Linked DNA regions of Cricetulus griseus. The protein of the gene in region 1 interacts with the protein of each later gene in a pairwise test. Links are inferred from orthologs where the notes say so. Each region holds a gene or a part of one and is shown on either strand. Other genes may lie near its edges.

Region 1 (7,598 bases):
AATGCTGCAGTGTGTGTAGCAGAGTCAAACCTGAGCCTGGCATTCTTTCTCATCCTCTTCTCAACTAGAGAAGCCCACATAAATGTCATCGATTTCTGTTCCCCCGGGGTGCCCTCCTTGTTTGTGTGGGTGTCCTGTAATGTCAGGACACTAGAAAGTGCTTACTGCTTATGACATGTGTTTTTCCTTCCAGGTGGCCCGCCAGCACAAGCGAGAAACCAGAAACGGATAACTGGGACGCATGGGCTGCTCAGCCTTCTCTCACGGTACCCAGCGCTGGCCAGTTAAGGCAGAGGTCTGCCTTTACACCAGCCACAGCCACTGGCTCCTCCCCGTCTCCCGTCCTGGGCCAGGTAGGGGCAGTTGTGGAGGGCGTGAAGACTGAGTGGTCTGCAGCTAGTGTTATTACACCAGCAGCTTCAGCAATGCAGGCTCTTGCCATGAAGCTGGGCTGGCTGGCTGGACCTAGTTCAGAAACCTGAGACTCAGTGTAAACCTCAGAGTTCAGAGGGCGTAAACTGTCCCGCCTGTGTCTAAGAAGCTTCATTGAAAAAGCAGCATCAGAGCTGCAATGATGATCGGTTAAAAAGGTACCGAACCTGCCATGAGGAGTCAGGGTGTTCATAAAGAAAACTCTGGGTCAGCCTATTTGACTACCCCTTGGTCCCTACTGAAAAAGGCAGACCAATTTCAGGTTAATGGGAGGCCCTGCTAAGGAACAGTATTTCTGAAAGTGTAGGGGTTGTTGTCATGAACCTTTCTCTTTATGTTAATGTAGTAATGATGAAGGAATGAGATTAATGAATCACACAGCAAATGCCCATCTGGGAGGCCCCAGGGGATCACAGGGGTTTTCTGTTCTGGAGATGCTTAAGTTGGAGGAGACACCGGGCAGATCCATGGGGAAATGGTTGGTATGCAAGAAGACTGGAGTTGCTGAGCGGCCGTGCTCAGCAGGGCACTTACGTGAAAGCCTAGAGCCTGCAGAGTCTCTGTGCCCAAGCCACGGAAACGGGAAGACACGGCAGGGTTGGGCAGAGGGAAAGGAGTGAGCCAGGTGAGGAAGGGAGAGAGAGTCTAGTAAGGAGGAGTTGAGTACACGGTGGTGGAATTGGGGCTGTCTGGCACACTGGCGGGACATGGCTGAGAGCAAGCGGCTGGCTGTAGCAAGCACCATGAAATCCAAGGGAGTGGACATGGCTGAGAGCAAGCGGCTGGGGCGAGGGAGGACGCTGCACGGTGTTCCTTTGTTTCTACCTACACTCAGCACCGAAGCGTATCCCATCGGTGCTCAGCCACCCAGGAGGTGCTGTGGGTGAGGCGTGAGTAAAACTGTGTAGGCAAGGGTGAGCTCTAGAACTCGGGAGGACAGAGGTGGTCGTGCTATCAGAGAGCACTCAGGACGGAGAAGAGGCCATCATGGATAGCGAGAGTCAACCTCTTGGTGACTGAGGAAAGGGAAAGTCATGCAGCGTGCAAGCGTGCTGTGAGGAAGGAGGAAGTTGAGCCACGAGAACTCTGCTGGTTTGTGAGGAGTGGAGCAGCGCGTCAGTCAGCGTAAGTGAGGGGCCTGTGCATTGAGCGGCCTGCAGTGACCAGGACAGGGAAAAGCAGGGGTTCCCTGGAAACCAAAGTCACCACTGGCCGCAGCACTGCCCAGCTCAGGACCAGGGACTGTGGTACTACAGCCTCGTCACAGTCACAGCAAAGACGATAGCAGGTCTTTCTGAACATTGTGACAGCCTTCAGAAACTGAGGCTTGGAGAAATCCGTCATTGCCCAAGTGTCGCAGAATTAATTATTAAGTGGCAGATCTGGGATTCAGCCCCCGTGCTGAAGTCTCATCTGACCTCGGGCTGGTTCAGAACCTAACATTTAGGGAAGGAGTGTCAAGGGAGATGTCCCAGACTTTTGTAAAGGCACAGAGCAAATGGCTTCCCTTCCACTCTGGCCTGGAAGTCCTGACATAGCTGAGAGGAGTAGGCAAGGCAGAAGCACTGTGATCACTGGGCAAGTAGGAAGCGACAGGTGGAGAACACAGTGATCTTGGTGCTAAAATGAAAGAAAGTCAGAATGTTTAGGTGTAGGGAGGTAAGAATCCATGCAGAGCAAGGGTCAGAGGTCACACACACACTCACAGAAGTTTCCTGTTTCATGCAGTCAGATCTTACCGCAGAAATAAAAATCACCTCAGTCAATCGCAGACAGATCCAGACCAGCTGTCCTTGCACATGAACTTCTGCTCCTTATCCATTTATGTGGAGAATCCAAGTGGGGCTTGTTTTAGTTGTTTAAGTCGCCGCCATGATTTTTAAGTAGATAATAAGTGCCTCACCTGCCTTTGCAGCCTTGTCTCCTGCCCTGCCACTTCCTCTCCTCTCGAGGCCTTTGCCTTTGGCCTGGAGTGCCCTTCTGCAGTGCTAGCTCTCAAACCCTTCTCGTCCTTCAGGGCTCAAATGCCTCTTCCCCTGTGAAACTGTCCCTGGTGCTCCAAGGCAGGCTTTGTCCTTCTTGCCGCTCTGATCTCACGGTGAGGCAGGAGAACTTTTCTGTAGTGTGTTTCACTCCTCCAAGTGATATATTTTGCTGTTTTTCTCTCTTCCTGGTACACTAAGTTCCTATTACTAGAGGATATTCTTATAGCACTTTAATGTTAATAAAATGCCAATTCCCAACTATGTGGAGGGAGCAGAAGTGATGTTTTCCTCATCCTTATAACCCCACGATGTCCACAATCATGGGAAAAAACAAGCACAGTCCAGTGCATGGCCTGTTTTCATGTGTCCACCTAAACTGAAACACCATTCAATCCTGAAATGTCTGCCCCGTTACATCAAAGTATAAAAGATGCACAGCCAGTGCATCTGAAGAAGTAAGGCTGGGTGGGGCTCTGGGAGCGGCCGGCAGGGTTTTTAGATCTCCACATTTAAAATGAACAATTGCAGAGAAGCCACGAGGCGCCTAGCATTCCTGCCAGGCAGAGACGGTGTCTCTGTCTTGGTTGATTAAAAAACTGCAGTGTAATCACGGGTCCTTTATGTCATCCCACACAGGGTGAAAAAGTGGAGGGGCTACAAGCGCAAGCCCTGTATCCTTGGAGAGCCAAGAAAGACAACCACTTAAATTTTAACAAAAACGATGTCATCACCGTTCTGGAACAGCAAGACATGTGGTGGTTTGGAGAAGTTCAAGGTCACAAGGGTTGGTTCCCCAAGTCTTACGTGAAACTCATTTCAGGGCCCGTGAGGAAAGCTACCAGGTACTTTATTGTTATCTGCTTCTGTTTGACGGAAACAGTATTAGCAATTGTTGTCCCTGCTGGTTAGATTCACTGGTGGGAGCTGCAGGATGAAGTGTGTGTGTGAAGGGTGGAAAGGGATCCCGTTCTCCTGAGCAGCCTGTGCACTGTGTTGCCTTGTCTAAGAATCCCGCAGCTGTTGGGAATTGTGACTCTGGATGCTTAGTACCCAGTACAGTACCAAATACAAGGCATTTGGGGAATCGACTGGAAGAATGAATGAATGGCTTTCTTCATTAGTGTCTGCATGTAGCATAGAACTATTGGATTATTCCACCATGCAAAGATAGCAGAAATAGCCCACAACATCTGCTAGTCAGTGCTGAAGAGACTGCATTGAGCTTGTGTGTCCTGTGTAGTGAGTGGGCAAAGCAGACGGGTGAGCGTGGTCACGCATGCCTCCAGCACTCTCACTGTGGCCGTACCCAGCTGCTAGTGACTGCTGCAGCTTTGGTCTTCTGTAGCTTTCAAAGAGAAAAGCAATGTCATTTGGTATTCTCAGGTGAGAGTTAAAATACTCTTTTCTTCCCTTCTTACAGCATCGATACTGGCCCTACCGAAAGTCCTGCTAGCCTAAAGAGAGTGTCTTCCCCAGCAGCCAAGCCAGCCGTTCCTGGAGAAGGTGAGGACGGGGTGTGTCCGCTCTCTTTAGGAGGCTGAGCACATTACTTGGTGCAGACTGTAAATGACCATGACTGGATTCACTTTTAAATAGGCCGGATGTTTCTGTCCTGCCTAATGATGTCTGGCAGTGAGAAGCCCACTGCGTCCACCAGGGGTCAAGTTCTGAGCATGTGTCAATGACGGCCTTGCTTCCCCGTGTAGCCCTCTTGTCTTGTTTACATCCATAACTGTATTGCTTTAAAACTGATGGCACAGTCCAGTGAAGCTCTCAGAACACCACGAGTGCCTTGGGTACACCCCAGCTGAGCCACAAGATCTCTGTGCTCTGTGAATGACCAAGTCAGGTTACATAGGCTTATTACAAATAATTCATTGCTTTTTTCCCCCCTCTGACCCTTGTTATATGGCATAGTCCTAGGTATTATATGCCAGGCTGTAAAAAGAGGTATTTTAAAGTTTTACACAGTTGAGGCCTCACTGGTCTCCTCCACGCTCACCGCAGTCATTACCTGGTAGCGCTGGCCGGGGCCACCTGAGTTAAGCATCTGTGTGGCAGTGAGCAGGCTCTGCAGTTACAGATGTCGGCAGAGGTGTGTGGCAATCTTTTCACAGGTGTCTGGAGTACATCTGTGATGACAGAGTGTGCTTCATGTGCTGTGGTAAAATTGTTGTGTTCCTTAGAAACTTTGCCAGCGGAAAACAGAGTTCTCGGAATAATTGCTTCAGCAGAGGCTGCACGGATGAAGGCTTAATGCTCGTTCCAACTCCCAGGAACACTAGTCCATTCTTAAGGAGACTTTTCAAAATAATGGTTGTTTAGTTTGCAGGCATAGTTGTAAAACCCTATCGCCACTTAAAAAATTCCAAATTTTTCCACGTAACTATTACTATTTTTTATATGAATATACATATTTATTATTATATGGACTCTCCTAGGATAATCTTTACACATTCACATTTCCTTAATAATTATTTTAGCACTATTAGAACAAGGCAAAAACCTCTTTTTTGATATAACATGCTTTCAGCCTAATTAAAAACAAATTTTACCTCTTCCCCAAAACAGAACAACAGCAAAAACTCAAGTGTATTATATGTCAACAGGTCTGACTGGGGGAGAAGTCATATTCTGGCTCTGTCATAGCAATTACATGATTTCAGTCATGCCTCAACTTCATCTGTGAAGTGCACATACTAACCACCCTTTTGGGGGGAAATTATTCCAGGGATTATGAATTAAAATGTATAAAGATTTTAGAATGAAGGCCAGTAATGTCCGCTCCTTTCACTTGGCCTCGTGTCCTTGCTTACTGTATAGCTACTCAGAGCAGTGAGCGTTCTCATCAGACAGTAGTGTGGGAGGGACTGTGCCAAGACTGCAACACTCGAGATCCTAACAGGTCACAGCTGCCCCTCATTCACTCTTAAAGTTAGGCAGCAGAATAGAGATAGGTTCCGATCTGAGGTGGTGTCTGTCTGGTTTGAAATGAGTTTGGGCATTAGAAAAACCAGGAAGGATTGCTGGCCTCGTGGCAGGAGAACTTGTAGGAGGATATTGGCATTAGAAATTCTGAGAAAGGCTGTTTACAGATTAGCAAGCCTCTTATTAATAATACATTAAACATCTTATTTAAACTCTAAAGTAGATTTAAATAGATTATGCATTTGAATAGATGGAAGTGGTAGCTTGGGACCGGCCTGGGCCCCTCTTTTAAGTGCCCCCTAAAAGGGGAGCCTGCTGGGAGCCCTCTGAATTCTCTCACAGAGTCTGACTTTCCCACAAACTTGTGCAGGGTGGGGCAGGAAATGCAAGCCTCTTGGTCCTTTTGGGCCCCTTAACATTTTGCAATATTGCGCTCAGTTAGCGGTTTCATTTCCAAGTTTCTTAAACATCTTGAAGGATACTCCAACATTTTAAAGGGATTTAAAGAAGGTGATATGTATTGAATAATCCAGGAAAGGTTTAGAATGCTCAGAATCCTGTCAGAAGTGGCTGGGTGGGGGACAATGGTAAAGGGGAGCACACATGACCAGTCAGTGTCCAGAATACTGAGAAATCAAGTAACTGTAAGCACGAGAGGAGAATGCGCTGGGACCACTTCGCTCTCCAGGCGTGTTTGGTTTCTCAGCATTAACTATGGAGCTTCATGTTACCAGAATGGAGGCCCAAAGTCAGAGTCCTGTTTTCCCAAGCACATTCGGGTGACCTTCTGTCAGCTGTGGGTCTAGCAGTCAGTGCTGGCTTCAGCACAGGTCCCACTAGTCACCTGGATTTGAAGGAGACCTCTTGTAGTTAGGAATAGACGTTTAGCTCAGACTTTAGGGGTTCTGTGTACCTATGTCGGTTTTCATTAGGACAAAGCTTTTCACATTAGCCAGAGGAGGATCTAGCCAGACCATTCGGCTAGTAAAGTGCTTGCAGCCAAGCCTGACAGCCTGAGAGTGATCCCAAAGTCCATACACCTTGTCATCTGACCTCCACACACGAGCCATATACAAAATAAATGTAAAATTGGCCAGTGGAGCTCTAATGCAGAGTTCTAGCTGCTAGCCAACCTTACACTCTGCTTTGAAGGGTTTTATCTCCTGTAAGATATGTTACAATGTAACAATCCAGTCAGTCCTGAGCTTTCTACAGCAGAGTTGCAACCTGGCACTCTGCTTTGAAGGGATGTATATCATGTGAGATAAGTTTCAATGTGACAATCCAGTCTGTCCTAAGAGTAAGCTTTAAGAAAGGCTTGATGGGCTGCCGCGTTTAGTCCCAGCACTCGGGAGGTACAGGCAGGTGGATCTCTATGAGTTCGATGCCAGCCTGGTCTCCAGAGCGAGTGCCAGGATAGGCTCCAAAGCTACACAGAGAAACCCTGTCTAAAGGAAGGAAGAAAGAAAGGCAGGCTTGATGGGATATTATCTCATCTAAGATATGTTACAATGTAACAATCCAGTCTGTCCTGAGAGTAAGCTTTACAAAAGGCTTGATTTGTATTACTTTTTTTAAATGTGTAAAGGCCTAGAACAGAGCAGGGAAAAAAAACCAGAAATAAACATGTGTCTCTCTCTGTAAACCGTCTGTACTCCATGTATAGGGTTTTGTGTCCAGCGATCTTGACTATGACTTTGTCCTGAGCCTCGGGGTCAGATCAAAGCAAAGCAGAGTTCTAGAGTTACAGGGAGCTATCCCTGTGGAAGACACTCCTCTGACTGGAGTCACTAGAGAAAGAATATCAGCTCTTCCTCCTTGAGGCTATATCACATGCCTAGTAACTTCTAATAAGCTTGTTAGAGATGATTGGTTATTTTCTTGTGCTAGGGAGATGTTACTTTTGTCATTAATCCCTGTACCTGCTTGTGCAACCTGGGTGACAAGCAGATGTCCAGCCATAACCAGACGCCTACTGTTCGATTCTTAAACAGCCCCCTATCTTTTATATACATGGTACTGTATGTCTCCGGTGTTCACTTGGGCACTTAAATAGTGAAAGGGTTGTCATTTGATTGACATCAAGGACGAACGGTATCCAGAAGTCTTCTAAACCTGTTACGTGCCCCCTCAAAACTGAAATACAGATTCTGCACACCAAAAGCCTGCACGTGAGTACATCCTACCCTGTTACACAGCACATGGTAGACAGGCCCTCAGTGTTAACCAAAGCTAAAAGTGGAAAACTTTTTC
Region 2 (7,598 bases), on another chromosome or scaffold:
GGGGCCGGGGTGCTGCGGCGGCCGACGGGCGCTCGGCCGGGCGCGGCCCGCCCGCTGCGTTGGTCCGCTTCCCGTTGGCGGCGGCCGGCCGCTTGGCTTGACGTGCGGCCGCTCGAGTCGGTATCAACCGTCGCCATGGTTTCGGCGGTTGCGGCGGCGGCGGCCTGCGGGCGAGCGGGCCAGCGGGCGGGCGAGCGGCCCCGGCTCCTGCGCTGTCGGGGGCCCGCGGCCCCGTCCTCTCCCGGGCGCCCCTGCGCTGACGAGAGTCGCGCTTGTAGACCAAGACCGTGCGGTCTCGGAAAAATTCTCAGCGGCTCGCGGCTGCCGTGTTTTCAGTTGTGGGAGGGGGCAAAGAAAAATTAAAAAAAAGGTCAAAAGGTGAACCCGAATATATAAAATAGAAAGCTATAGAAGTCTGTATCCGTGCCTGCTTGCTTGCTTTCTTCCTTCCTTCCTTTCTTCCTTTCTTCTAGTTCTCTATAATCAATGCCCTTCTTTTCCCTTCCTCTCCCCATCATCCTGCCCCTCCTCTTTTCGGATAACGAAACGTTTTTATAGTGAAATAGTCTCCGGGCAGTTGATCCCTTGGTGAGAGAAGCATTAACTAGAAAGAAAAACAAAACAAAACAAACAGAAAAAAAACCCTACGAAGTCTTCACAGAGGAGCCAAGGGAATTACAATTGTGGGAGTCTGTTAAAGTTGTCTCGGGATCTACCTATTCCCTACCTTCAAAGGTGTCTTTTTTAAGAAAGAAAGTCGACTGGTTGGGTGTGCAAAGGGGGAATACCTGTAGCCAAATGTCACATCGTTTCAACGGCTAACATTTCTTTACTGTATTATTGGAAAGGTTAAATTTTAAAGTTAACATTCATCCATTTTGAATAGAAGAACTGATACTAATACAAGCTTTGAAATTATTTTCCTACAGTGACCTGCCACTTTTAGTTACCTTAAAATAAATCAAGAGTCATATGTGTTAGTAAGAAAAGTATGTATGTTAATATTAAGATTGGGAAGTTCTATTCATTTTTTTTTTGCTTGAAAGTCATGAGTCATATTTGACTTGGTATTGAGTCTAAATTAAGTATGTTTAAATTAATTACCTTTTACCATCTGTGGGGTTTTGAATGAACAGTGCCTATGCCAAGGAGAAAAGTAGAGAACATATATTTGTCTTTGAGCCTAGAGTCATTATCACTACTTCTCTTTGACTTCACCTTATATATAAAGGGGGAAGGGTGTAGGAAATGAACTGTTGACTTCTTACACTCCAGGTTTGTATCACATTATTAAAACATTTTCTAGTTGGGTTTTGTTTTGAGATAGTCTTTTATGGCCCAGTCCACATTCCAAGTGCAAACTCCTAGTTGAATTTTTTTTCAGTTGACAGTGCTACATAATCCATAGCAGAGTGTTAAATGTGGAGAGTTCATGTGTCTCGTTGCCTTGACTGTACAGATGTTAGCTTTTCTGTGATGAAGAAAGGTAAAGCCATATTATATGTTCAAAATTAAAGAGCAAGTTCTTTTTTTGTTTTGTTTTGTTTTTTGTTTGTTTGTTTTTTTTCGAGACAAGGTTTCTCTGTGTAGCTTTGGAGCCTATCCTGGCCTTTGCTCTGGAAACCAAGCTGGCTTCGAACTCACAGAGATCCACCTGCCTCTGCCTCTCAAGTGCTGGGATTAAAGGCATGTGCCACCAACGTCCGGCAAAGAACAAGTTCTTACAAAATTAATAATCAGAGGGGTATTTCCAGAAATTGATGGGAATTCTAAAAAGGAAGACATGTTAAACATACAGGAAAACTGAGTTCTTTTCTTTTTCCAGGTTTCGTTTTTTTGTTTTGTTTCTTTAATGAAGAAGTAAATCATATAAATTGTCAACATGGGACGGAGATCAACATCCTCCACCAAGAGTGGGAAGTTTATGAACCCCACAGACCAAGCTCGTAAGTGCCATTAGTGTGAAATGATGACGTTGAAGAGTTAAAAACTGCAAAGAATATTTCCCCGAGGCTTAAGCAAGTTCAGCATTGGTAGAAGGGAGTTGTGTGAAGTCATGTTGAATTCTTAAAATTAACTCACATGACTAAAATGTTGAGAGTGTACATCAGTTAAAACCATGTTCTTGTCAAGCTTTGTTGGCTTGCAGGATAAAATTGGATTGTTTTTCTTTTTGTGTTGGAATTTTTAAACAAATGAGTTTTAAGCGCTAGTTTGGTATTTGAGAATCTCTTTTTCTCATTGGTTCAGTTATTTCTGTGAAAAGAAACATTTTAGCATCTGGAGTTCTTAGGGTTAGAAGTGCTGCAGTTGTGCAGTTGTCTGCAGGTCGAAGCCACCGATGCCAGTGCATATCCAGGTGTTGCATAGGGGAGCCTCAGAAGAAAAAAGTGTGTGCTGTCTTGTGGTAATGTTAATGTTGAAGATTTGAGGTATATGGTCTCTTTCCCTCTCTTTAGGAAAGGAAGCCCGGAAAAGAGAATTGAAGAAGGTATGAATTCAGACACATTCTGTATATTGATTGAGATTCATGAATGATAATAACATGTAAATTATATGCTAGAAAAGATGCTTTATACTTCTCATGAAAACCAGACAGTTTACTATGTTTAAAAACTGATATGACTGATAAAACTTTGGACATTCCATTCATAGTGCTTGTTTGACACTGTTTATGTAATTCTCCTGCCTCATAAGTTTAAAAAAAAAAAAAAAAGAATTCGTTGGGGGCCGGAGTAATGGCTCAGTGGATAGCTTCACGTACTGCTCTTGCAGAGGATCTGAGAGTTCCATCCCCGGCATCCATGTTGGGTGGCTCACAGCCATCTGTTCCTCCATCTCCCAGGAATCCAACACCCTATTCTGATCTCCACAAGAACTCATAAGCACATGCCTACACATTCACACAAACACGCCCATATATAAAATTATATTTAAAAATGCCTTTTAGAAATAATTCTTAAGATGATTGTGGTAGCACACTCCTGTAATCTCAGCACTTGGGATGTGGAGATCAGAGACAAGAGTATCAGGAGTTCAAGGCCAGCCTGGGCTACATCAGACCCTGTCTTGAGAAAGTAATTATTTTTACCATGTACCAAAATGTAGCTGCTTTGTTAAAAGCTATTGAATGAATGCCAATAAATGTGTTGGTGGATATCTTTGTGTATCTAATTAGCTATTGAATTTTGACAGAGTAATTAGAGGGGTAAACATTTGGTATCACTCTTCAATGCATTCAGGGCTTTTATAATCTCTGGTATGCTCTCGAGTCTTTCAAAAATATCCCTATCCAGCATTGTATTTTTTTTTTTTTTAATTTAACAGCAGCCCTTTGTTTTTTGTTTTTAAAAAAGTTGTTCCTGTGGTAGTTGCTAACAGTCTAACTGGGTTGAAAGAAATACTTTCTGTGAAAGCATACCTTTTTAGCAATGTCCACACATTGTTGAGAACAAGAAATCTCATAACTGTTCCTGGTGGTTTAAACATGATTTGAAACCAAAGGAAAATGTGAAATGATTTAGATTCTTGAGGCAAATTGAAGTAATAATGTCCTGAGCATCCAGCCTCTTAGTAGTCTTCTCTTTTGTTTTTCTAAGAACAAAAAACAACGAATGATGGTCCGAGCTGCGGTTTTGAAGATGAAAGATCCCAAACAGATTATCCGGGACATGGAGAAATTGGATGAAATGGGTAAGAGTATATGAAAAGGCCAGATTTATTAACAGCTATAATAGTGTGGTCCCCAATGGCAAGCAGCATAGGCCTAAGAAAACCGAGCAACCTGATGGCATAGGACACGACATTTTGTTGTAATGTTTTGGAAATAAAGTGAAGAGATAAGATCCATTGCAAGCTGGAGATCACATGTCCTAGAAGAGAGAAGCCATCATTCAGTTGGGATTACTTAATGTTATTAGGCAACAAAGGCCGAGTCTGGCCAGCTCACTTTATAATTGTTCAGATTTAATTATATTTTCCCTTTGCCGTAATAAGTTAGCAGAATAAAAAAGGACATGCACTCAAATTCTTAGTCAGTAGGAGTAGTGCAATAATATATCTTCTAGATTTGAGTAAATCATCAAGTTATAGGAAGATTTAGGGAAAGAATTTAATTGAACTGGTACTTGAAGAAAAAGGAGAAAATGTCTTAATCATCGGGGCCCTAGTTCCATTTATAAAAATCTGAACTAATTAAAATAGAAAGGTGTGCCTTGGCTTCCATAACTGAGACAGCCCTAGAAAGCTGTCTCTAGGAGGAAGCCCAGAGAGTCTCCAGAGGACTGTTGTGTCTGCTTGCTCTCCTGCACAGCTCTAGTGAACAGCTGCATGGGGTGGAAAGTGGAACACGTGTGTGCGGATAGCGGTAGCCAGGAGACAAGGCCATAACATCACGCAGATAGTGGGAAAGCTGCTCTTTCATTTCCAGTCCCAGGGAGGGCTAGGAATGCAACTCAGGAGATAGCACGCTAGCCTGGGAGTTCCGAAGGAAGATGCGATTGCCTGGTGGTCTATCCCCCTGAGCACAGAGGACTCAAAAATAAAATGGTGGTATCTGGAACTAGTTTGTTATTGATGAAGTAGCTCTTTGTTTACAGTTCTATAATCTGCTTTTCTCCCAGAGTTTAACCCAGTGCAACAACCACAGTTAAATGAGAAAGTCCTGAAAGACAAGCGTAAAAAGCTGCGGGAAACCTTTGAACGAATTCTACGACTTTATGAAAAAGAAAATCCAGATATTTACAAAGAATTGAGAAAGCTAGAAGTAGAATATGAACAGAAGAGGGCTCAACTGAGCCAGTATTTTGATGCTGTTAAGGTAAAGCTGCTCTTGGGAGAGGACCAGATGTGTTTTTAGATTAAGTGTGCACCTTATGCTCTAGCAGAAAGTATTTGTATAGTAATCCATTGATAATAAAGAGAAACAACACATGATGAAAATTAGTAACAGTGTGAGCCAGCCATGGTGATGCACACCTTTAATCCTTGCCTGGGATTGGAGACTATAAAAGAACATGGATGAGGCCCCAGCCGGTGTTGCTTCTTTCCGTTAATATTCCATGTGCTTATACTTCCAAAATGGGCAAAAACAGGTCTGTTAACACTGGCTGACTGCAAGGTGTCAGAAGTCGGTTGAGGAGTAGGATATACCCACTTGTGTGAGCTTTTATAGTTTATTACAAATTTTTCTTTACTGGGGCAGAAAATCAAAACCCCAAATGGAATGATTTTGGTGAAGTAGATGGCATGTTTCCAACAATACAAGACAGAATCCCAAGAAAGGTTCATGAATTTTAGAGACTGGGTACTCTTTGTCAACAGATGTGTGTTGCTGAGCAGAGTGTTGCAGTAGCCCTGCCACGGTTGGATTTCTTTAAAACCGAAGCTTTTTCAAATCATACTGGTTATAGGGATTTTGAAAGAATAAGCTATATTTGGATTCTTTAAGAAGAAATGATAGATTTCTTTCGTTCCCTGGGCAGTTTTGGCTTGAGGTGATTTCTCATGATCTTTGTGTTAGTTGGAAAACAAATTGAGGATGTCGGGTTCTTGGGGCTGGGTTTGGATGGGTGCTGCACAGCTGGCTGGGTCTCTGTGTTGCAGAATGCTCAGCATGTTGAAGTGGACAGCATCCCTCTGCCAGACATGCCGCACGCTCCTTCCAACATCTTGATCCAGGACATTCCGCTTCCTGGTGCCCAGCCACCCTCCATCCTTAAGAAAACCTCTGCGTATGGGTAAGGAAGCCTGTCGTGACGGCAGCTTTTGACTGAGGTGCCACAGCCAGTACAGGGAGACATGCAAGGCTGTGCGGGTGTCATTAGTGTGAGAGCAATGAAATGTGGAGTGGGAGCATTGCAATTGTACAGGGAATTAGACGTTCTCACCGCCACTGTAGGCATAGATAACATGATCAAGTTCTCTTTACAGGCCGCCAACTCGGGCAGTTTCTATCCTTCCGCTCCTCGGACATGGTGTTCCACGTTTGCCCCCTGGCAGAAAACCACCGGGCCCTCCACCTGGCCCACCTCCTCCTCAGGTTCTGCAGATGTATGGCCGTAAAGTGGGTTTTGCTCTAGATCTTCCCCCTCGTAGACGAGATGAAGACATGCTGTATAGTCCAGAACTTGGTATGAAGGGGCAGGGTCTTTTCCTTTTGTCCTTCTTGAGATTGTTTCTATGTTAAACATACTTAGCATGTTCACCACAATGAGAACACAAGGGAGTGAGGACACCATGTACTTACTGCTGTGTGTTCCCAGGGGTAATCCACCAGAGCTGCCTGGTGAGAGCCTGTTGCATACAGATGTCACTACAGATCCCTAAGACTGGATTGAATTGCTTATTTTCAACTGGCTAGAGTTACTGACAGTGCATGTGACTATACACAGAAATAATTGCTTCTAATATGATGTGTTTGAACTTCTTACAAGAAAACAAAAGTATTTAAAACAAGTACCCAATAAAAATATCACAGTACATGACAGCTGACATTGCATACAGAATTTTACATGTTATAAAGTTAAAAATAGCATAATTTTGTATTTCTGGGTACTTTGAAGGACAATCATACTTGTTGTCTTTGTCATCAGCTCAGCGAGGTCATGACGATGACGTGTCCAGTACCAGCGAAGACGATGGCTACCCTGAGGACATGGACCAGGACAAGCACGATGACAGCACTGATGACAGCGACAGTGACAGATCTGATGCAGAGAGCGAGGGGGATGAGTTTGGGCACCGTGAGGACAGTGAGCGCGATAACCCTGAGGAGAAGAAGTCAGGTATGTGCCATGGTGAGATCAGCACACAGATAAGCCCAGTACAGAGTCACAGTCATGGCCAGCTCCTTTGGTTTGTAATTTGAGGTGGTGTCTATGTGGTTTATATTTGTGTGTGTGTGTGTGTGTGTGTGTGTGTGTGTGTGTGTGTGTGTGTGTGTGTGCGCGTGCGCACGCGCACACGTGTGTGTGTGTCCGAGAGTGTATGTGCGTATGCCAGGGCACATACATGGAGGTCACAGTTGGTTCTCTCAGTCCACTATATCAGTTTGTTTGATGACAAGTACCCTTATCCACCTGAGCCAGTCAAGACCAGCTTTAAGCCCAGTTTGGTTTGGTTTGGTTTGGTTTGGTTTTGAGACAAGTGTCACTGTTACTTAAGCTGGCCTCAAACTTGTGGTGGTCCTCTGCTTCACCCTCCCACATTTGGGAATTGCAAATATAAGCCACCATGCCTGGCCATTTGTCTTGATAGTTTGAAAAGTTTTGATACATTATTCTTACAAATATTTGTGAGAGTTAAGTGGGTGTGCAGATGAATGTGTCAGGGCGCTCCAGGAGGCCAGAAGATGACATTAGATCTCTGGGAGCTAGATTTTCCAGTCCCCTCAGGATTGCACAGTGGCTCTTAACATTGAGCCATCTCTATCCCTTTCCTAGTGTTTCTTAATCATAATTACAAATATCAAAAAAATCTATCACAAATAGTGACAGGATGAGCCTGGTGTTATAAAATATAGAAGACTCTTCAGTAGGAACTGATCTTATAAAGGAGAGAGAAGCTAGAGCCCCATGGACTGCTTTTTCCTGAGAGGC
Region 3 (7,598 bases), on another chromosome or scaffold:
ACAGCCATAGACATAAAATAAGCATAAGCTTTTAAAATTGTTAGTGAGATGCCTCACACCTATGTTGGCTTCCTTGAGTCAGTGGCCAAGGACTAGCTCAGCTCCAGTTCTGAAAGCAATGCAATTTCTTTTGGACCTTTTGAGAGATAGAAACAAGTTTCCCATAGTGACTGCCATCAGGGATATTAGCAACCTCCCAGCTCATCCTAAAAGAAGACCAGCAATACGTGGGTCCTCTCAAAAGCCGTTGGGTGTTACCTAACCCACGGTCCTTAACTTCCCATCCTCCGCCTTTGTCTGCCAATGCATCTCCCATAGCCGGCGTGGGGCGAGCTTTCATGTTGGAAACCCGCTCCTTTTTCTTCGTCTTAAAGAGATCTCTGGACAAAAGAATGCTATCCACGGAGTTCAGATGAGCAACGGGTGCTTCCTGTGAGCAGCTCTGCAGGCTAGACAGAACAGCAGAGGCTCTGTTCACGAGGTGGCTGGGGAGTTCTCTGAGCCAGGGCTACATCAGGGATGTTTTCTGCTCAGTTTCCGCTGGGAAGCTCTGACTGAAGAGTACATTTTTAGAGGAGTTGCGACCTCCCGCCCCTTTATTTTGACTTTTATTTTTGTGTAATGAATTATATGTTGGGTCTTGGGCAGAAATGGTGCCTGGTTCACCAAGCACCAAGATGGGCGTCGCACTGAGGAAAACATTTTCAGGTGTCCCACAAACAAGCCTTGACAGAAGCTTGGCGGGAAAGGCTGAGGGCTCCTAAGAAGACCAGCCTAAGATTCACACTTCCAACTCGTGGCCAGATTTGGTTCTGAAAGCAGCTGTTACACAAACAGAGGGATGAAGAGGGTGACCAGATGCTGGGTGCTCTGCAGTGGAATAACTGAATTACCTCCCTAAAATCTCACAAGGCTTGAATGTCACTAGTTGAATGCCAGGCAGGGCCAACCCATTAACACAGAACGTACGCATGTGTGTGGCCCTGGGTTCAAACTCCAGCCCTTACACAAACACACTCTGAAGATGACAATTGTATTAGCTGTGACTCCCAAGAACCTGTATGTTCGTTTGTAGCCTGTTCCATATAGAAACATTGTGGCAATGGTGTAGAGTCTCCTTTAGTCATGAACACCCGCTTGTTTCACTGGCACAAGGGCCACAGCTGGGGCTGCTAGTCAGTGACTTGTCTCTCACTATTCAGAACACACAGGGCTTTGTCCTCTGCACCGCTGATCCAGTCTTTCATCACTGGTTCTCTGCATCCTGGCCTTGTTCAGAAGTGAAATCATTACACACTGCGCCTGCAGGGCAGGCAGGCAGGCAGGCAGGCAGGCAGGCAGGCAGGCAGGCAGGCAGGCAGGCAGGCAGGCAGGAAGTGCTTCAAAACCTGAAGTGTGGGTTTGGGGGCAGCTAGATCAGGCCCAGCTTTGGGGTTACCCCATTCACAGAGATTAATCTCAGTGACCCTTCTTTATGTTCCCATCAGCAACTTAGAAACGGTCACAATTTGCTCACGCCCTTCACCCACAAGGGCCTCTGCGCTGGAAAGACAGCAGTTTTGTGGTGCTGAGCGTCCTTTGAAAGCTCTGGTGAAGGAAGCATTGCTTTCAGGACTTGGGGGGCAGGAGAAGGCACAGCTTGTGCAGGGTTGCCGGAGTTCAAAGCCTTGCTTTTAATCCCAAACCATTTTTCTTTTTGCTTGACTTTTATTTCTTTCTGGGTGGCTAAGCTGCAAACTTCTATTAATCTACTGCCAAGTAACTTTTCTTAAAAAGGTGGATAGGTTGCCCAATCCACACCCAAGACACGGCTCTCGGGAATGCTGGTAGGACAGTTTTGTGTGGCTGAAAATGGGGGAAAGTCAGCACCATTTTCTCTAGGGAGCAGATTCTTCCTGGGCTTTGGGTGTGAGCTGCTGGAACACAAATGGACTGGTAAATTTGGAAATTCGATCCCCTGGCAATCAGAGATCTTGGGGCAAAGAAGCCTAAGCATCTCTGCAGTTTCCAGTTCTGTGTTAGCAGAACAGCCAAAATGTCAGCTGTGGTGATGAATACCTTCCAAGTCACACACAGGCAGCGGGAGAGAAAGCCCAACATCATGAAGTGACATTTAGCATTTAGGGACAGCGTGGAAGAAAAACAGAAACAGCCAAGAAGTGGTTGCTGGAAGGGACATTTTACCCGATTTCTGCCCTTCCTTGTTAAAACAAAGAGACTTCTTAACATGGCTTTCAAACTTGCACACCACACACCACTCCCCATTCTCTTCTGTCTCTGTGTCTTACACACACACACACACACTACACATATACCCCCCATACACACACATACACACTTTAGCTCTTTGCAGTAATTTTTTTTTTTTTTTTTTTTTTTTTTTTTTTTGGTTTTTCGAGACAGGGTTTCTCTGTGTGGCTTTGGAGCCTATCCTGGCACTCGCTCTGGAGACCAGGCTGGCCTCGAACTCATAGAGATCCGCCTGCCTCTGCCTCCCGAGTGCTGGGATTAAAGGCGTGAGCCACCAACGCCAGGCTTAGCTCTTTGCAGTATTAACAGTTTCCAGAAGTAACCAGAACTAATCATGTCAACAAATACAATTCCTTTTCTTTGTGTGTGCCTGTGGTAGAGGCGGGGTGGTTTGAGAAAGTGTCTCCCTGTATAGCTCTGGCAGTTCTGGAGCTCTCTGCATAGACGAGTGTACATCCAAGCAGTGGGATTAAAAAGCATGTGCTACCATGCAGGGCTACAGGCAGGTTCTTAAAAGCGTAAGTGATCAGATGAACTAAAGTAAGTGGCCTGGATCGAGATATGAATGACTTTGCCTCCCAAGTGCTGGACTTAAAGGTACACAGGTGACTGCCTTTATTCCTTTTGTTGTTTTTGTTTTTTTGTTTTGTTTGCTTGTTTTGAGACAGTTTCTTTGTGTAGTCCTGGCTGTCCTGGAACTCACCCTATAGACCAGGCTGGCTTTGAACGCACAGAGATCCACCTGCCTCTGCCTCGCAAGTGCTGGCTCAAAGGTGTGCACTACCACTGCTCTGCCTGTCTTTAATCTTTGTTGGTTTTGTTTGTTTGTTTGTTTGTTTGTTTTTCGAGACAGGGTTTCTCTGTGTAGCTTTGGAGCCTATCCTGGCACTCGCTCTGTAGACCAGGCTGGCCTCGAACTCACAGAGATCTGCTTGCCTTTGCCTCCCGAGTGTTGGGATTAAAGGCAAGCGCCACCAATGCCTGGTGCCTGTTTTTAATCTTAATAATCAACACAGACCAGTCCACCAGACATCTCTATGATGTATATTCTTGAAGGAAAACATGGATTTTTTTTTTTTTTTAAGATTACTTGATTTAACTTGTTCACCATGACTGCTTCTCCGTGTTATTTGGGCCTTTCTTTGTTTTGATGGACTACAAGCTTTAGTTTTAATTGGCTTGCACAGGGTAACCCAGGAGAACTGTGAAAGTCTGAGCTATTTAAAGCTGCACAGACTTTGCTTAATGCACAACCCTTTTAGGTTGGTGCTATTGAATATGAAGCATTCATTGGAAATCAACTGGCAGACAAAGTCTCAAAGCAGTCTAGTTATGAGCTACCCAAAGAAACGGACCACATCGAGATCATTACAGTGGCTTCATTTCAGGAAAAACAAACAAACAACAAAAATAAGACCCACTAAGGCACTGGAGAGAGGATATTTCAGTGGTTAAGAGCACTGGCTGTCCTCACAGAGGACTCAAGTTTGACTCCCAGTACCCACATGGTGGCTCACAATCATCTGAACTCCAGTTCCAGGGGATTCAACACCCTCTCCTATCTTCTGAGGGCAGCACGCATGTACGCAGTACACATACATATGCAGGAAAAGCTCTCACACATATAAAATAAAAATAAATAATATTTTTTTTAAATGTTTGCTGTCAAGCGGTGGTAGTGCATCCTTTTAATCCTAGCACTCAGGAGACACAAACAGGTGGATCTCTGAGTTCAAGGGCAGCCTGGTCTACAGAGTGAGTTATAGGACAGCCAGGGCTACACAAAGTAACCCTCTCTCAGGAAGGAAGGGAAAAAAAAAGGAAAAAAAAATGTTTGCTGCTTAAGCTTGAGGAGTTGAGTTCAAGTCCCCAGTGTCCACATGTCTGCTGTAACCCCAGCACTGGTGGTGGGGGGGGGGGACAGAAGCAAGAGGCTCGCTGGGTCCTTCTGGCCATCAGACAGACTCCAGGTTCAATGAGACCCTGTCTCAAGGACATAAGGTGGAAAGTAATAGAATACCTAATGTCTTCCCTTAGACCAGTGGTTCTCACCCTTCCCAATGCTACAACCCTTTAATTCTGTTCCTCATGTTGTGGTGACCACCCAATCCCAACCATAAAATGATTCTTGCTGCTACTCCCTAACTACTGTTAGGAACCATAATGTAAATATCTGATATGTGACCCCTGTGAAAGGGTGGCTATACCTCCCAAAAGGTCAAATTCACAGGTTAAGAACTGCTCCAGACTCTTGTGTATATATATGCACAGATGTATGCTCCCACACATATACCACACATACATACAAACACACACACACACACACACACACCAACTATAGAAAAGACTGTTGATGGGGTATAGAGAAATACTTGAATCCATCACAACCCTGTGACAGACCACGGTCCTCACTTTCATTGTAAGAGTAAGCAAGAAATACACAGAACTATTTGATCAAAGAAACAAAAGTTGTTCCCATGAATATCCTTATAAAAATGCCCAAACTAGCCAGGGGTGGTAGTGGCACACACCTTTAATCCCAGCACTCGGGAGGCAGAGACAGACAGACCTCTGTGAGTTCCAGGCCAACCTGGTCTGCAGAGCTAGTTCCAGGATGGCCAAGGATCTACAAAGAAATCCTGTCTCAAAACAAGAGAGAGAGAGAGAGAGAGAGAGAGAGAGAGAGAGAGAGAGAGAGAGATGCCCAAACTGAACCTGTTAATAAGCAGTCTTTCGCCACCTTGGAGAAATAATTGTGGAAAAGCAAAGCAAAGGTACAGGGGAGGGTAGTCATGGAGAACTCTAGAACTGTAAGTTGGTCTTTATCCCAAAGGCTTTGAACCATGTTATTATGTGGACCTACAGGATTGCCAGGTGAACGCTTACCAAGCAAAAAGGTTTTAATTTTAAGGGAAAACTAACAAATGTTTAGGAAATCTCTTTCCCACTAGGTGTCTCTGGGGGAAATGCAGGAATTAAGATAGTCTTCATCAAGCCTAGGTTGCATTCTTCTCCCTATCTCTAAGCAAATTACATAAAAATCTAACTGAAATATTTTGCTTCTCCAGTAGCCGCTTGAAAGCTGCCCCAGATCGGGGGAAGAAATCCGATGCTGGACATCATAGTGACTTCAGTAGCTTACATTTTGTCCCACCTGTGAAATCACCCTACATATGTTTTATTATTCCATATAGCAAAGATTCAGATCTGTGGCAACCAGCATATTCACCTCAAAGGCCACCGCCAACTGCTCTTCCAAATACTGGGAAGATGCGACAATACCCCTTTGTCAGAATCCACCGAAACAAACAGGAAGTAGTTATACTTCGGTAAATATCCCGGAACTAAATCTCTTTTTTTTTTCTTCCAAAGCTTCCGCAGGTTCACTCGGTCCAACAGTGTGACCACCGCAGTGCAGGCTGACCTGGACTTCCATGATAATCTGGAAAATTCCCTGGAATCTATAGAGGACAATTCGTGTCCCGGCCCGATGGCCAGACAGTTCTCCCGGGACGCCAGCACGTCCACCGTCAGCATCCAGGGTTCAGGGAACCATTACCATGCCTGCGCAGCCGATGATGACTTTGACACGGATTTTGACCCCTCCATCCTGCCTCCCCCGGACCCCTGGATTGACTCAATCACAGAAGATCCTCTGGAGGCCGTTCAAAGGTCCGTGTGCCACCGGGATGGCCACTGGTTCCTGAAGCTTCTCCAGGCAGAGAGAGACCGCATGGAAGGCTGGTGCCAGCAGATGGAGAGAGAAGAACGGGAAAACAACCTCCCCGAGGACAGTAAGTAGCGCCGTCACTCGTGTCTGTGACTGTGGTGTGGGCCGTGCGGGTTTGTGTTCCTAGGCTTTCCGGTTTGCATTTCTGCCAGCTCAGCCTGTGAAACCTTCTGTTTCACGCACCAAACTCAAACTCCTGGAAGAGCTGGGCAATTCCACTGAAACACCAGAAACTGGTATACTGCACGATAAGAGAGAAAGCCACCGAGCCGATGCCACACCCTCCGGCTCTAAGACCTGTAGCTTTCCTTTCCTGCTATGAAACACATTCAAGATCAGCATGGCAGTGGTCTCAGTGTCTCCCAGAATCCACACTTCCCCCAACAGGATCTTGAAATGCGTCTGATCCCAATTCTAACTAGCTGGGCAGTGGTGGCGCACACCTTTAACCCCAGCACTCGGGAGGCAGAGGCAGGTGGATTTCTGTGAGTTCAAGGCCATCCTGGTCTACAGACGGAGTTCCAGGACAGCCAGAGCAGTACAGAGAAACCCTATCTTGAAAAAATCAAATATGATGAAACACCATGAACAAAAGCAAGTTGGTGAGGAAAGGTTTTATTTGGCCTACACTTCCACATCACTGTTCATCATTGAAGGAAGTCAGGACAAGAACTCAAACAGGACAGGAACCTGGAGGCACGAGCTGATGCAGAGGCCATGGAGGGTACTGCTTACTGACTTGCTCCTCATGGCCTGCTCAGCCTGCTTTCTTATAGAACCCAGGACCACCAGCCCAGGGATGGCCCCACCCACAATGGGCTGGGCCCTCCCCCACAATCACTAACTAAGAAAATGCCCTACAGGCCTGCCCACAGCCCATTCTTACTGAGGCATTTTCTTAATTGAGGCTCCCTCCATGGTGATTTCAGATTTGTCAGGTTGATAACACTAATAACCATCACAATGTGTGTGTGTGTGTGTGTGTGTGTGTGTGTTGGGTATTATAATCTTTATAGTTTTATTAGTCTTATTAACATGTAATATTAAAATAACAAGTGTATAGGCCAATAGAAACCCTGCTTATTGCATCTTTCAGCCTGTTTGGTTCTTTTTTCCCCTTTTTTAAAATTAGAAACAAACTTCTTTTATATGTGAATCCCAGTTCTCCCCCCCCCAACCCCCCACCCCCTATCCTAACCCCTTTCTGCTCCCAGGAAGGGTGAAGCCTTCCATGGGGGAATCTTCAAAGTCTGTCATATCATTTGGAGCAGGGTCTAGACCCTCCCCCATGTGTCTAGGCTGAGAGTATCCCTCTATGTGCAGAGGGCTCCAAAAGTCCATTCGTATACTAGGGATAAATACTGATCCACTACCAGAGGCCCCATAGATTGTCCAGACCTCCAAACTGACATCCTTGCTCAGGGAGTCTGGAACAGTCCTATGTTGGTTTCCCAGCTATCAGTCTGGGGTCCTGTTTGTTTTTTGAGACAGGGTCTTACATAACCCAGGCTAGCCTGGAGCTCAGAAGCAAAAGATAACTTTGTACTTTTCAATCTTCCTACTTGCACCTCCCAAGTGCTGGGGTTATAGATGTGTGTCAGTCCCCCAAGTTCTGGAA

What was found. The genes of interacting proteins can lie anywhere in the genome.
Region 2: the proteins of Itsn1 (region 1) and Wbp11 interact in a two-hybrid assay, tested with the Homo sapiens proteins (2 studies listed by BioGRID and IntAct). The link is inferred for Cricetulus griseus from reciprocal best matches to the Homo sapiens genes ITSN1 and WBP11.
Region 3: the proteins of Itsn1 (region 1) and disks large-associated protein 1 interact in a two-hybrid assay, tested with the Homo sapiens proteins (2 studies listed by BioGRID and IntAct). The link is inferred for Cricetulus griseus from reciprocal best matches to the Homo sapiens genes ITSN1 and DLGAP1.

The regions. Positions count from the first base shown.
Region 1 is NC_048597.1:5,923,124-5,930,721, reverse strand, and holds part of Itsn1 (intersectin-1), read left to right. Parts: intron 1-193; coding exon 194-353; intron 354-3,053; coding exon 3,054-3,259; intron 3,260-3,837; coding exon 3,838-3,920; intron 3,921-7,598. UniProt on the Homo sapiens protein: Adapter protein that provides a link between the endocytic membrane traffic and the actin assembly machinery. Acts as a guanine nucleotide exchange factor (GEF) for CDC42, and thereby stimulates actin nucleation mediated by WASL and the ARP2/3 complex.
Region 2 is NC_048601.1:12,200,736-12,208,333, forward strand, and holds part of Wbp11 (WW domain-binding protein 11), read left to right. Parts: intron 1-1,825; 5' UTR 1,826-1,882; coding exon 1,883-1,946; intron 1,947-2,459; coding exon 2,460-2,491; intron 2,492-3,599; coding exon 3,600-3,693; intron 3,694-4,622; coding exon 4,623-4,819; intron 4,820-5,604; coding exon 5,605-5,738; intron 5,739-5,931; coding exon 5,932-6,131; intron 6,132-6,593; coding exon 6,594-6,785; intron 6,786-7,598. UniProt on the Homo sapiens protein: Activates pre-mRNA splicing. May inhibit PP1 phosphatase activity.
Region 3 is NC_048595.1:459,281,996-459,289,593, forward strand, and holds part of disks large-associated protein 1, read left to right. Parts: intron 1-5,622; coding exon 5,623-6,044; intron 6,045-7,598. UniProt on the Homo sapiens protein: Part of the postsynaptic scaffold in neuronal cells.